Ovis aries: one gene and its partner. The protein of the gene in region 1 interacts with the protein of each later gene in a pairwise test. Links are inferred from orthologs where the notes say so. Each region holds a gene or a part of one and is shown in the gene's direction. Other genes may lie near its edges.

Region 1 (4,307 bases):
ATTGCTGTGACTGCATAATTTAAAACTTAAAAAAAAAAACTTACAAGGTAGGTCTCATGTTAAGTGTTCCTACCACAGTAAAATAAAAAATTTCAGGTCTGAGTGGAAGGAAGAAATGATGAGGCCAGTGACAGAAATAGTTGTTTTTGAGGTGAAGCTGTGAAAGGGAGGCTCTGGCAGGACAGCCAACTAAAAGTACCTTTATATCAGTTGAGCAAAACTGATTGGAGATGAAGATATAAATAAAACTTAGACAAAGAGAAATGTGATGCCAAGGGCAATTCACCAAAGTAAAAAGGTTAAAGAATGATCAGCTCAGAGGGACCGAGAATCAAGCCTTTAGAAATACTTAAAGAGTGATAGGATGAAAGGAAATGGTGAAATAAGGTGATCATCAGAGAAGAAGGAGGCTGAACAAGAAAGAACGGCGTCACTAAGTCACATGAGAAGCAAATTTCGAGAAATTGTTCACTATGTCAAAGCCAACGGAAACTGAGAAAAGACCATTGGGAAGGAAACTGGGACATTCCAAAAAGATGAGAAGCCTAGCCTGACCTTCCCTACCTGGTTAACAAACATTGTGAATCATGCTGATGGTCTCTCCTCGAGGTTAAGGTCAAGAGACCCGAGCAGGGTTGATTTTTTTCTTCTTCCTGTTGCTTTCTCTTCTATTCTTGGGAAAAGCATAGAAAATGGAGATTATTTTGTTTGCCATGAAGCTCATGTCCACTTAACTCCTACCTAAAGGGCAGGCAGGTCAGAAGTTACAGACTAAAAAATTAAAAATATTCACAAAACTGTAGTTTAATCATTATTCATGAGCAACAGCAGAAACAAATGGAGGAGGACTGGCAGTGTACTTCAGTCAACTTCCAGCTCAAATGATGTGAGCGGTGTAGTGTGACCGAAGATTGTGCAAGTGAGAATGAGGAACCGTCTGTTGTTTTCTGTCTTTACTGCAGTAACAAGTTATTAAATATTAATAACTAACATTTAACGACATGGGATTTCCTGAGTCGGTCTTTTAATGTCCTTAAATTTGACTGGTTTGAGGTCTTTTGGGGTGGGTATGTCTATCTATCCATTTGGAAGAATAGGAAATGGACTTGAAGCATGAGGGATGAGGCTTGAGCTTTTATTAGTGGAAATAATATATGGAATCTATGGAATAATTTTTTAAATCTTAGCTCCATGAAACTTTTATTAAAGATGAGACATGTATGTGGAGACAGATTTAGGAAGGTTAGATCATGCCGAACAAACCGCTTTCTGAAGGATGTTTTCTATCGCAGAATTATTTAAAAATAAAATTCCAAACCATTGAAGGAGTTTGAAACTAAGTGTATTTAAAAAAAAAAATAGCGTATAAACTACACTCCCAGGAATCCATGCGGGCGAGTCGCTGCGCTCGGCAAGCGGCCTTCGCCGCAAGGTACGCTGGGAAGTGTAGTGCGCCAAGCGACGCTGCACGTGACACGCGGAGGCAGGCGAGGGGACCGCGCCACCTGAGGCGGTCGGGGGTCCGGGGGAGGCTAGGCATACGGCTCTCTTTCCCCCCGAATTTGGTCTGTGCAGTTAGGGGATGGCCCCCATCTCCTCCCCACCGTGAGGTGAAATAAGCTGGCCGTGTTCCGTCGCCCGCCGGAGCAGCTCCGGGGAAGTCCGGAGAGTAAGGCATCGTGGTGCCTCGCCCCTTTTCTCGGCGGCCGGGCGGGCCGGGGAAGAAGGTAACAGCCCGGGGCTCAGGGCCTGCGCCCTGCGCCCCGCCCAGGCTGCGGCAGCGCGGGGAGGAAGCGCGTCTAGTTGAGCGCAAAGTTTCCTTTTATATTTTTTGCTTTCTCTTCAGAGTCGCCCTCACGGGCCATGGGGCGGGTATGCCACACTTCAGTTTGAGCGGGGGTCCCTAGACCAAGGGGTGAAGATAAGCGAGCCCCCCATCCCGCTAGCCATGAGCAGCCGCGACCACCTGTTCAAAGTGCTGGTGGTGGGGGACGCCGCGGTGGGCAAGACGTCCCTGGTGCAGCGATATTCCCAGGACAGCTTCAGCAAACACTACAAGTCCACGGTGGGAGGTGAGACGCTGCGAGGGGCGGTCGGGGGAGCGGCCGGGGTCCTGCGACTAGCCGCAGACTGGAGTGGGCTGGGGGCCGGGGGTTTTGCCGGCTTTGGGTCCTTCCCCGGGCCAGGAAGGAGCTGTCTGAGACCCTGGTGTTTGATGTGCATGTCTCTCGGGGCGTGGGGCGGGTGGGGGGAGGTGGTTTCCAGTTAAATTTTCCCAGTCAGAGCTGTCTCGAGAGAGAAAGGCAAAGTGTGACGGTAGGAAATGGGGAAGGGTGGGTGAGAAAATGAGCAGTTGCTGCGTTTCGCTGGGGAACTGTGAACTCAAGCCTCCAGCCTTCCTAGCAGTCACCTGCAAATCTCTGCGACAAGCGGACTCCACTGAGACCTTCTGAAGAACCTGGTTAGGTACCATCTGGGGCTGCTGTTCTACCTTTCACGAGAGTTACAGACAGCTGTTGAAGGAACAGAAGGGTGTTTAACCTGGCCTCAAGGAGCCTGGCTTCGTTATGGAGATGCTTGCCCAGGAGAGCACTTGGACACTGTCAGAGGCTGATGAGCTGTGTGGTTTTTGTCCATTGATTGTTTAAAGACAACCTATTCCTAGTGTAAAATATACCACTTTTTTATTTTCCCACCCCTTTTTCTCTCAAACTAGGGAGGCAAAGGACAAGGGGGACACCAGGAGTTAATTCACTTCTTTCCAGGTGTGGCCTTTGGACTCAACTATCTTTCCAGAAGTAGGAGAATGCTTTTTAATTAAAAGTTTAGCTGGGGAGAGCTGGTGAAGAGGAAAAATAACAAACATTTATTTATCTCCATTAAAAGAACTTTTGTAATACAAATTTTGAAAATGTACACTAGTGTTCATTATGGAATTTTTAAAAATTAACATCCAATTAAGACATCTTCCTTAAGAGCATCCATCAAAATGAAGGGTTTTAAGTTTCAAACAAACAAACAAATAAGTAACATGAGGGCCTCTGATTCACGGATTTGGTTTAAAAGTATCCTCCTAATTTTTAACAATTGCTCTAGTTTTCCTATAGTAAAGAATATAATTGACTGGCTATTTTTTTCAGTGTTTATTCTAAATTTCCCCTAGCTTTCATTTCTGTCATAGATGTGAAGAAATATATTTCCAAACATCAGAAATTATCCTGTTTCTGTCTTTGTCAAACGCTCTTCCCCCTTGGCCTTAACTCATGGAGTCTCAGCATCTACAGATGTGGCAGGAGCTTCCAGCACAGCTCTTAAGCATCACCCATGGGGTGAATCCTCTGGGACCTTTTCACTTTATCTCATTCCTGCCCAGGATAATTCCTACAGCCTTATGAAGGATGTAGAATTCCCCCAAGGTTGTGATTTTCTCATAATACAATTGGGTTAGAAACCAACAGAGAAATTGAACGTGGAAAATGCAAAGGCCAACACACTTACCTCATTTCCGTCTTCTACCTCATCATCCCTTCCCTGAGAAAGCCCCCTAAATCTTCCAAAAACTGTTTAACCTAAGATAAGTTGTTTTTGTAATTACTCTCACCTAATATTCTCCAATTGAGTTTTCTCAGCCTGAGCCAACTGTCTGAAAAGAGATAAGGCAGTATTAGTAGGATCAAATAATTGGTTTGACAAGAGAGTAAAAGCCAGAGATGCCTTCAGAAGATGCATGTGAATTATATGTCCCATATTTAGTACATGGGTGTGGTCCATTGAGGGCTTAAAATAACCAAATAAACCAACAATGAATGAATGAATTTGATTGGAGTTGTGTGTCCCTAGGGTTGTATCTGCATGTTTGATATGACTTTGTGGACTTTTTAAAGGTAAACTTTATTCAAGTATATTATACATATATTTTCAGTGGATTTTGCTCTGAAGGTTCTCCAGTGGTCTGACTCAGAGATGGTGCGCCTCCAGCTGTGGGATATTGCAGGTAGGATGGGAAAACGGGACAAGAATAAGGGGAGACATTTTGGTTTAACCAACAAGCTTTCAGAGAAAAAGTAGAACCAAACTTTTTTTTCTGAAGCTGGAATGATCAGACTGCTCTGAGGATATGTAAGCTGAATAGATGTAGAGCTTTTGTAGATGTGTTCTGTAAATGTTTTACCCTGAATAAATATAGAGCAGTCTCTGTGCGGGTGGAGGGGTGGTGAGGTAGTGAACTGTGAAGACCATAGGCAGATGCTCCCACAGCAGGCAGAGGGTGCTCTTTCTAAGGTTTCCAGCTAACCTTGGTGAGAAAC
Region 2 (3,284 bases), on another chromosome or scaffold:
ACTGGGTCTTCGTCGCTGCGTGCAACCTTTCTCTAGTTGTGGAAGCCGGGGCTCCTCTCTAGTTTCGGTGCACGGGCTTCTCTTTGCGGTGGCTTCTCGTTGCGGCATGCCAGCTCTAGGGGAAGTGGCCTTCAGTAGTTGTGGAGCGTGGACCTTAGTTACCCGGCCAGCGATGGAGCTCACGTCCCCTGCAGCGCTGGGCCAGTGGGAGACGGAAAGCAGCATAGGGTCCGTCCTCACTTGCGTCTCCCGTGTATGGAAAAGCGACCTGAGCTACCCCAGGTGCAGCCAGCTGTGGAGGGGGGCTGTGCTGTTCCCTTAGTCCTCAAAGCGGGATACACGCATACAGGCACACGAGGGCTCCATCACACAGTGTGATCACCACTAACACCAAAGGGGCCAAGAAGCATCATCTGAAAAGGTCAGAACTGCAGAGCCAGATGGACAATTTTAAGATTGAGGCTTCCCGGGGACCACCACTGTTCACTAGCTTCTGACCAGGATTGCGGCTCTTTTAAGTTTGCTGATAAAGAATCTTTCTATCTGCAGACTCCAGCTCTACCTTCCCTCCCACTGTTAACAGCCCCAGGGGGCAGCCTGGACCCCTCCTCTCACCGTTCCCAACATCTGAGAATGACTGCCCTTGGTTTGTAGTCGAGGAAACCTGCTGAGTGATCTGTCAGGGAAGGGACAGCGCCCCTCCTGGCGGCTCGCGGCCAAGCGAGGAGAGCTGGGTCTCATCCTGACCCCGCCTTCCCTTCTCACCCTGGGACCCGGGAGGAGCTGAGACAGCATTTTTGACCATTCTGTCCCCAAAGTGGGATCCCCCTGATCTGGTGGCGCAAAACTAGGTAATTTCTGGCCTTTGGGGCCTTGGCCGTGTCCTGTGTCTCTGGCTTCTTTCTTTTCAGCTTAGGACCTGGAGCCTCAGGAAAGGACTAAACCCTCAGCACCAGCTCGTGCATGAGTGCTAAGTCCCTTCAGCCATGTCTGACTCTTTGTGGCCCCATGGACTGTAGCTCGCCAGGCTCCTCAGTTCAAGGGATTCCCCAGGCAAGAACACTGGCGTGGGTTACCATTTCCTTCTCCAGGGGATCTTGCTGACCGAGATCGAACCCTTGCCTGTCTCGTCTCCTGCACTGGCAGGCGGGCTCTTTACCACTAGCACCACCTCACAACACACCATCTAGTCTTGGAAGACCATTCTGTTTGTGCAGTGACCTTGAGTTTCGGGGCTGTCTCGTAGTTATGATCAGGGAGGGGAGGCAGGGGGGTTCACTAGATTTCTCCAGCAGCACCTAGGGCTTACTGCCCCCAGAGCAGATCTCTTAAACCTCTGTTCCCTGAATCTTCTAGATCAGCTCTCCCAGGGTCGACATTGTAGGCAGATGTGACGATGAGGGGCACAGAGGCAGCTACTGGCTGAAGCCCGGGTGGAGGACCCTCGGGTTAAGTTCTGTGCCCCCAATTATTCCCTAGGAGCCTTGCCCGACAGAGGGGACCTGATGCACGACCCAGCCATGGATGAGGAACTGGAGCGGCTGTAAGTGTTACATGGGAAGATGCTGCCCCCTTGTGGGCACCAGACCCCAGTCGATCAGAGCCCGACAAGGGCCACTGAGCACTTGTCCATCGGTCAGGGAAGGCTTGGGGGGCCGATGGAGGCCTGAGACAGCCTCTCTTTGAACCCTTTGGGGAGGCAGCCTGTGGTCTCACACACGCGAGAGTGGGTGAAGGGGTCCTGGTCTCTGGACAAGAGGCACCTCGCTCCCTTTGGGCATCTCCTTCTTCAGGCTGGCGCAGATACCAGGCCTGGTCACCTCAGTCACTGCCGGTCCAGAGGCCAGCTGCCTGCCTCCCCGGACCCCTCCCCGGGTTGGCTCCCCTTGGAGACCCCTCCATCATGCCCGCAAAGTGGATGCAGAAAGCGATGGCTCCACTGAAGAGACAGATGAGTCCGAGACTTGAGGAGCCTGAAGGGTCCTGTCTACAGCACAGAACCCAGCCCTGGGTCCAGTTCCCAGCACCCCACCTGCTCAACTCCCCACCCGCCTCCAAACCCTAGGACCCCAGGCCTCTCTCCTCCCACTCCCTGTGCCGAGCTGCCCTCCACTGGCACTGCCCTCCACTGGCGAGGCCAAGTGACAGCCCCAGCCCAGAGACCCGCCAGAGAGGTGCTGATAAGCCAAGCTACGCAGTGACCCTAGAAAGTTAACAGCCGACTTTCTCCCATCAGCCTGCCTTTCACCAGGCCCCAAGCTGACAGCGGACTGAGCTGAGGCCACGGGAAGGGTGACTTGGTTTTACCTTTTTGCTGACCATCCCCATCTCCTCACAGCAATTCCAGGAACCATGCAGAGCCTTGCATGGTCAAGGGTGACACCCAGCCAGTGATGCAGGTATTAGGATACAGCCATGGTAGCTTTCTGCGGGAGGACTAGCCACTAGCCGTGAGATGAAGGGTGGGCAAAAAGAAATTTCACTTTCAGAAACCGCGTCAAATCTCCTCTGTGTCTAATAGTTAAACATGTGAAATGAATAAAGTCCCTTGTGTCTGGTAAGTGGTGAGTCTAAAGCCATGAGACAGGGGTGAAGGGAAGGGGCGAGTTTGAGATTTTGATGCCAAGTTCCAGTTTCTTCTGGCAGGACTGGGAAGTTGGGGGACAAAGGACTACTCGACCTGGAGACCTGTCTCAGATCATGAGCAAAGAGGGACTCACCAGCTGCACATGAGCTCTGCCTTTCATGGGAAAGGTGGCCACAGCTGGACAGAGCTTTCAGGAACAAGCTCAGATGGCTCAAGGCCAGGTGCCCACAACTTGAGAGACGGGCCACCAGGGGCTGCCATCACAGGTTCATTAAACATTTTCTAAGCACCTGCTCAGGGTTAGGCCAGTAGGGGTGCAGCTGAGAACAAGACAGGCGGAGTACCAGCTTCCAGCCAGAGCTGGACAGTAAGGCGCGTGGTCTGCAACTTCCAGAAAGTAAAACCACCCCAGGACCCAAGCAGAGCAGGCTTCCTCCTCTGCAACTGCCAGACACCCACATTTTCCTTGGCTCATCCCTGCCCAGACCAGCACCCCCTGGAGAGTTACAGGACCAGCCGCTCCCACAGCTCTGCCGGGCCAGGCTGGTGACCACTGAGGCATCTGCAGCCTCCAGCTCGCCAGCCGACTGGGAGCCACTCAAAGCCCCTGGATGCCTCAATCACCCCGGGGGCTCAAGCCCCACGACCACACCCCTCCAGCCTGGAGGCGGGCAGAGAAATCTCTTCATGAGCACCT

The links. The genes of interacting proteins can lie anywhere in the genome.
Region 2: the proteins of RAB29 (region 1) and CSTPP1 interact in a two-hybrid assay, tested with the Homo sapiens proteins (2 studies listed by BioGRID and IntAct). The two-hybrid records come from large-scale screens. The link is inferred for Ovis aries from reciprocal best matches to the Homo sapiens genes RAB29 and CSTPP1.

Annotation. Positions count from the first base shown.
Region 1 is NC_056065.1:3,369,276-3,373,582, reverse strand, and holds the start of RAB29 (ras-related protein Rab-7L1), read left to right. Parts: upstream 1-1,485; 5' UTR 1,486-1,669; exon of another isoform or gene 1,670-1,727; intron 1,728-1,846; 5' UTR 1,847-1,948; coding exon 1,949-2,072; intron 2,073-3,922; coding exon 3,923-3,994; intron 3,995-4,307. UniProt on the Homo sapiens protein: The small GTPases Rab are key regulators in vesicle trafficking. Essential for maintaining the integrity of the endosome-trans-Golgi network structure.
Region 2 is NC_056068.1:75,987,353-75,990,636, forward strand, and holds the end of CSTPP1 (centriolar satellite-associated tubulin polyglutamylase complex regulator 1), read left to right. Parts: intron 1-1,479; coding exon 1,480-1,543; intron 1,544-1,793; coding exon 1,794-1,968; 3' UTR 1,969-2,561; downstream 2,562-3,284. UniProt on the Homo sapiens protein: Regulator of the tubulin polyglutamylase complex (TPGC) that controls cytoskeletal organization, nuclear shape, and cilium disassembly by balancing microtubule and actin assembly.